Linked DNA regions of Saccharomyces cerevisiae S288C. The gene in region 2 interacts genetically with the main gene of each other region. Each region holds a gene or a part of one and is shown on either strand. Other genes may lie near its edges.

Evidence for each region. A genetic interaction does not mean that the proteins touch.
Region 1: of NDE1 (region 2) and SEF1, changing one suppresses a phenotype caused by changing the other (phenotypic suppression), as found in Saccharomyces cerevisiae (one study listed by BioGRID).

Annotation. Positions count from the first base shown.
Region 1 is NC_001134.8:98,487-102,243, reverse strand, and holds the start of SEF1 (Sef1p), read left to right. Parts: upstream 1-2,128; coding exon 2,129-3,757. Other genes in the region: KIP1 (Kip1p), read right to left, coding at 1-358; thioredoxin peroxidase PRX1, read left to right, coding at 1,088-1,873. UniProt on the Saccharomyces cerevisiae protein: Putative transcription factor that seems to be involved in the sporulation process. Suppresses the lethal phenotype of RPM2 deletion.
Region 2 is NC_001145.3:554,847-558,603, reverse strand, and holds the start of NDE1 (NADH-ubiquinone reductase (H(+)-translocating) NDE1), read left to right. Parts: upstream 1-2,128; coding exon 2,129-3,757. Other genes in the region: TIF34 (translation initiation factor eIF3 subunit i), read left to right, coding at 80-1,123.

The sequences.
Region 1 (3,757 bases), on a different chromosome or scaffold from region 2:
CATTAAACACTGTTTCCTGGTCAGATTCTGCGCCGAACACCTGATCAAATTGGTAAGTTTTCTTCGAGGACGAATACGATTGGTGAGAACCGTTGGACAGAATGATTTCTTTCCCTTGTGGGCCTAGTGTAGATATAACTACACTACTTTTTTCCTCTATTTCTCGCTTATTACGCGATCTGCACCTTACATATACATGTATATTGGAGTCTGAAGTGGCAGCACCATTGTTACAGGTGGGCGGCGTTAGAGTGTGCATCCCATTTGAAAGACTTGGAGATGGAGCATGTGCAATGGTCCTCCTCTTGTTCGCTTCGAACTGGGCGGTGCGGCGGTTGGGCAAGGAAGAACGAGCCATGATTGTTTAACTATCTCGCCATATTTAGTGAGGGAAGCGCGAACTGTCGTTGATTGTTTATGTGTTTATTTTATGTTTATCGTTCTTAGAGGGTGGCGCGCACTGTGCGCGCATATGTGGGCCATACGCAGACATATATAAAGAACTAAGAAAAGGTGAAATGGGACTCTACGATGGCGCTAATGGTAAGGTCTCTTTTCTATTTGCCTAATTCAGATACAATATATAATTGCCAACCTCAAAGAAGAAGAATTATGGGCATATTGACCTTCTCCGGTTTCCCTCCCGCGCTCTCGTATCCGTCTGCATTTGACCTCGAGCAAGCGCTCCACTATGTCTATATGTTTACCAGTAAAACTTCTTAACGTTTGTGATATTTTTTGAACTTCAACCACATTCAGTATGCGTGTGTATATAAAGATATTCCTGATAGCACTATGTTTATCTTTATACAATATACAAAAGGTCACCCAGGACGAGCAGCGCGGCTATTTTTCTATCATTCCGTGAATAGCGACCAACGGTCGGCGGCTATTTTTTTTTTTGCAATTTTTTCGGGATGGGTTCCCCGGCAAAAGCTAGCCCCGGAGATTTTTAATTACGTAAAGAAACAAGGGGCCGGATGTTGCTGCTATTGGTATATAAAGAGAGAAGGAGAGATATAGAAAATTGTGCTTCTAGATTCTCGCAGTAGGATGAGATAAATTTCAAAGAAGCAGGAAGCAAAGGATGTTTAGTAGAATTTGTAGCGCTCAATTAAAGAGGACGGCATGGACCCTTCCTAAGCAGGCTCACTTGCAATCACAGACGATTAAAACATTTGCCACAGCACCTATTCTGTGCAAACAATTCAAACAAAGTGATCAACCAAGACTAAGAATAAACTCTGATGCTCCTAACTTTGATGCTGACACAACGGTTGGTAAAATCAATTTTTACGACTACTTGGGCGACTCTTGGGGGGTCTTGTTTTCTCACCCAGCAGATTTCACCCCTGTCTGCACCACCGAAGTCAGCGCATTCGCCAAATTGAAGCCGGAATTCGACAAGAGAAATGTTAAATTGATCGGGCTTTCAGTGGAAGATGTTGAGTCCCACGAAAAATGGATTCAAGACATCAAGGAAATAGCAAAGGTTAAAAATGTTGGTTTCCCAATAATTGGTGACACTTTTAGAAACGTGGCATTCCTATATGATATGGTAGATGCCGAAGGATTCAAAAATATCAATGATGGGTCACTGAAGACCGTGAGGTCTGTTTTCGTCATCGATCCCAAGAAGAAGATTAGACTGATTTTTACCTACCCTTCCACCGTCGGAAGAAACACTTCTGAAGTGTTAAGGGTAATCGACGCCTTGCAATTGACTGACAAGGAGGGCGTAGTAACTCCAATTAATTGGCAGCCAGCTGACGATGTCATTATTCCTCCCTCTGTCTCCAATGATGAGGCGAAGGCTAAATTTGGTCAATTTAATGAAATTAAACCCTATTTAAGATTCACCAAGTCGAAATAAGCTTTGAAATAAACGACTTTACTATATACAGGTATATGAAGTATCTCTAACTAAAACTTTTATCTATCTTTCATTCTTATTATATCTCATCTCGTACGAAGGGCCGCTCATTGGATCATTTTTCTTTACATACCGTAAAGGAATGGCGTTAAAAATATATATATGAAAATGCATGTAATAAACTCTCTGCAGAAACCTTAATGTCAAAGGTCCCGTATACAGATTATATTGGCTCTGCGTATACGCATTCTCGTCATGGTGAAGGATAATCGAGATTCTGACCAAGACCAAGATTTTAGTTCTGCTCACATGAAAAGACAACCGGAGCAGCAACAGTTGCAACAGCACCAGTTCCCAAGTAAGAAACAACGAATATCTCACCATGATGACAGTCATCAAATCAACCATAGACCAGTTACCTCATGTACACATTGTAGACAGCACAAAATCAAATGCGATGCTAGTCAAAATTTCCCTCATCCTTGCTCCAGATGCGAAAAAATTGGTCTCCACTGTGAAATCAATCCTCAATTCAGGCCTAAGAAGGGCTCACAGTTGCAACTACTGAGACAAGATGTGGATGAAATCAAATCTAAACTCGATACTCTTCTGGCCAATGACAGCGTTTTCGTTCATCTTTTACAACAGATTCCCATGGGCAATAGCCTTTTGAATAAGCTCAATCTGCATCCAACTCCAACTCCGGGTACTATTATCCCTAACCCAGATTCTTCTCCTTCCTCAGGTTCTCCAACTTCTTCCGCGGCTCAACGAGATTCTAAGGTTTCAGTTCAAACTTATTTGTCCAGGGAACCCCAACTCTTACAAGCAAATCAGGGCAGCAATACGAATAAATTTAAAGCAAATAATGAAGCATCTTCTCACATGACGTTGCGCGCATCTTCTTTAGCGCAAGATTCGAAAGGCTTGGTTGCAACAGAGCCAAATAAGCTGCCCCCGCTGCTAAATGACTCAGCATTGCCTAATAATTCAAAAGAATCTTTACCTCCTGCTTTGCAAATGGCTTTTTATAAGAACAACTCTGCAGGTAACACTCCGAACGGCCCCTTCTCTCCAATTCAAAAAACATATTCCCCTCATACTACGTCGACCACCGTTACAACGACAACAAATCAACCACCATTTGCAGCAACAAGCCACGTAGCAACAAATAACAATGCAGATAGGACGAAGACGCCGGTAGTAGCCACCACCACGACTATGCCATTATTGCCTTCGCCGCATGCAAATGTAGATGAGTTTGTACTGGGCGATATTAGTATTTCCATTGAAAAAGCGAATAGATTACACCATATTTTCGTGACTAGGTATCTGCCGTATTTTCCTATTATGTATTCCAATAACGCCACCGAATTATACTCCCAATCTCAGTTGCTTTTCTGGACCGTGATGTTGACGGCATGTCTGTCTGATCCTGAACCGACGATGTATTGCAAGCTAAGCTCTTTGATCAAGCAACTTGCCATAGAGACCTGCTGGATAAGAACACCTAGATCCACACATATTTCGCAAGCTTTGTTAATATTGTGCATTTGGCCTTTGCCTAACCAAAAAGTCCTAGATGATTGTTCTTACCGTTTTGTAGGATTAGCAAAGTCACTGTCTTATCAATTAGGTTTGCACAGAGGTGAATTCATTTCTGAATTCACAAGAACTCAAACATCAATGCCAAATGCAGAAAAGTGGAGAACTAGGACTTGGCTGGGAATATTTTTTGCCGAACTTTGTTGGGCGAGTATCCTTGGTTTGCCACCAACTTCACAGACAGACTATTTATTAGAAAAAGCCTTATCCTGTGGTGACGAAGAATCAGAAGAAGATAACAATGACAGTATTGACAATAACAACAATGATAAAAGGAAC
Region 2 (3,757 bases):
CAAGAGGCGAGGTATATCTTAAGGTCGTTAGATAACTGGCCAGGAGAGAAGACAAAAAGAAATAGCACAGACAAGGAATATGAAGGCTATCAAATTAACAGGTCATGAACGTCCATTAACTCAAGTGAAGTACAACAAAGAAGGTGATTTACTATTTTCATGTTCGAAAGATAGCTCGGCCAGTGTTTGGTATTCGTTGAACGGTGAAAGATTAGGTACTTTGGATGGTCACACCGGTACCATTTGGTCTATCGACGTCGACTGTTTCACCAAGTACTGTGTTACAGGAAGTGCTGATTACAGTATCAAATTATGGGATGTGTCAAACGGGCAATGTGTTGCTACATGGAAATCGCCTGTCCCCGTTAAAAGAGTTGAATTTTCCCCATGCGGTAACTACTTTCTAGCTATCTTGGACAACGTCATGAAAAATCCAGGTTCCATTAACATATACGAAATTGAAAGAGATTCCGCCACTCACGAATTAACAAAGGTCTCCGAAGAGCCAATCCATAAAATTATCACTCATGAAGGTTTAGACGCTGCCACCGTGGCTGGATGGTCGACTAAGGGCAAATACATCATTGCAGGCCATAAAGACGGTAAGATCAGCAAATACGATGTGTCCAACAACTACGAATACGTGGATTCCATCGATTTGCACGAAAAGTCCATCAGTGACATGCAATTTTCTCCTGATTTAACATACTTTATTACATCATCCAGAGATACTAACTCGTTCTTGGTCGATGTATCGACTCTACAAGTTCTTAAGAAATACGAAACAGACTGTCCTCTAAACACCGCCGTAATCACCCCATTGAAGGAATTCATTATTCTTGGTGGTGGTCAAGAGGCCAAGGATGTCACCACCACCAGTGCCAACGAAGGTAAGTTTGAAGCTAGGTTCTACCACAAGATCTTCGAAGAAGAAATCGGCAGAGTACAAGGCCATTTTGGTCCCTTGAACACAGTTGCCATTAGCCCACAGGGCACAAGTTATGCCTCCGGTGGTGAAGATGGGTTCATACGTCTACACCATTTCGAAAAATCTTACTTTGATTTCAAATACGACGTGGAGAAGGCCGCCGAAGCTAAAGAGCACATGCAAGAAGCTAATTAATGTTAATTTTGATGCTGATGTTGATGTATAGTAAACATACATATATGCATATACGCACGTATATATATATAAGAATATGAAACCCAAACTGTGGATATTATTTCGTTTATTATGATCTCTCGCATATCTTGATACGAAGTGCAAGTCATTATAATATTTAGACTTTTCATTACGTTAATAGAGAGTCACTTTAACCACGAGGGGAAAAAACACATACCCCTCCCCTTCGAGGTAATCTTCCGGTGAGATCTTCCCTGTATGCAGTTCCCGGGCATAGGCGGGTTTAACATCTTGCTAAAGAACTATCGCACTAACCCTCTGGTACCCAATGCCGAGATTCGGTAATGGGGGCACGGCACTACGGAAAAAAAACTACAATTCTAACTCTACCCCGCCCCTTACGAAAACGCCCTAGCTCAACCATTCCGACCGATAAAAAGTTGCCGCGATCCCGTCGATCGCATTTGGTTTTGAGGTAAAAAAAGAAAGCGACAGGGATCTTCTCCACGATGCTCGAGATGCCCTGGTCCTCGCTATGGCATTACTCTGGCCTCAGCGGTATTTGCATTCACAACCATCACCATCGGGATGGTAATACATGGCTCGGCAATGAGAAGAGTTTTGGCACACATGGGCCACTCCTTATGCTTTCTTTCCGTTGTCTCGAAGCGTGTGGTGTTTCTATTTTCATTCTCCTTCTTGGGTGTATATATAAAAGAGGTTGTGTTATATAAGACAACGCTCATTGGCCTGTTCTTGATTTTGATTTTTTCCGCTTTTGTGCTGTTGGGGCTAGAACTATAAGTGTGTCGATTGTTTTTATCTTCATTATTTCTTTTGCATGTTTAGTATTTAGACTAAATTTATACGCAGCTACTATCTTTTATTATATATTCTGGTAAACCAATTAAAGAGAGAAAAAGGAAAAAAATTTTCACACTAATATTCTTCATATAGCATCATAATATTGACTTATTAGAGCAAATAAAAAATTAACCAATAATAATGATTAGACAATCATTAATGAAAACAGTGTGGGCTAACTCCTCCAGGTTTAGCCTACAGAGCAAGTCGGGGCTTGTGAAATATGCCAAAAATAGATCGTTCCATGCAGCAAGAAATTTGCTAGAGGACAAGAAAGTCATTTTGCAAAAAGTGGCGCCCACTACTGGCGTTGTTGCGAAGCAGTCCTTTTTCAAGAGAACTGGGAAATTTACTTTGAAGGCTTTATTGTATTCTGCCCTCGCGGGTACGGCTTACGTTTCATACTCACTTTACCGAGAAGCTAACCCTTCTACCCAAGTTCCTCAATCGGACACTTTTCCAAACGGTTCAAAGAGGAAGACTTTGGTAATTCTGGGCTCCGGTTGGGGTTCTGTGTCGCTTTTGAAAAATTTGGACACCACGTTGTATAATGTTGTTGTTGTTTCTCCAAGAAATTATTTTCTTTTTACTCCGCTATTGCCATCTACCCCAGTTGGTACCATCGAATTGAAATCTATTGTTGAACCTGTCAGGACTATTGCTAGAAGATCGCACGGTGAAGTCCATTACTATGAAGCTGAAGCGTACGACGTTGATCCTGAAAACAAAACAATTAAGGTCAAATCTTCCGCTAAGAATAACGACTACGACTTGGACTTGAAATACGACTATCTGGTTGTCGGTGTGGGTGCTCAACCAAACACTTTTGGTACTCCGGGAGTTTATGAATATTCTTCTTTCTTGAAGGAAATATCCGACGCTCAAGAGATCAGATTAAAAATTATGTCCAGTATTGAGAAAGCTGCCTCCCTATCTCCAAAAGATCCTGAGAGAGCAAGATTGTTGAGCTTTGTTGTCGTTGGTGGTGGTCCCACCGGTGTCGAATTTGCCGCTGAATTGAGAGATTATGTTGACCAGGACTTGAGAAAATGGATGCCCGAATTGAGTAAAGAAATTAAAGTCACTTTGGTGGAGGCTTTGCCAAACATTTTGAACATGTTTGACAAGTATCTCGTTGACTATGCTCAAGATTTATTCAAAGAGGAAAAAATCGATTTAAGATTGAAAACAATGGTTAAGAAAGTTGACGCTACCACTATAACTGCCAAAACTGGCGATGGTGACATTGAAAATATACCGTATGGTGTATTAGTTTGGGCTACAGGTAATGCGCCAAGAGAAGTGTCTAAGAACCTAATGACTAAATTAGAGGAACAGGACTCAAGACGTGGTTTGTTGATAGATAACAAACTTCAACTTTTGGGTGCTAAGGGATCTATTTTTGCTATCGGCGATTGTACCTTCCACCCTGGCTTGTTCCCTACCGCTCAAGTTGCCCACCAAGAAGGTGAATACTTGGCTCAGTATTTCAAGAAAGCTTATAAAATCGATCAATTGAACTGGAAAATGACCCATGCTAAAGACGATTCAGAAGTCGCTAGATTAAAGAACCAAATAGTCAAAACGCAATCGCAAATTGAAGACTTCAAGTACAACCATAAGGGTGCTCTGGCTTATATTGGTTCAGATAAAGCCATTGCTGATCTTGCCGTTGGTGAAGCCAAATATAGGTTAGCCGGCTCATTCACCTTCCTATTCTGGAAATCTGCTTATTTGGCAATGTGTCTATCCTTTAGAAACAGAGTTCTT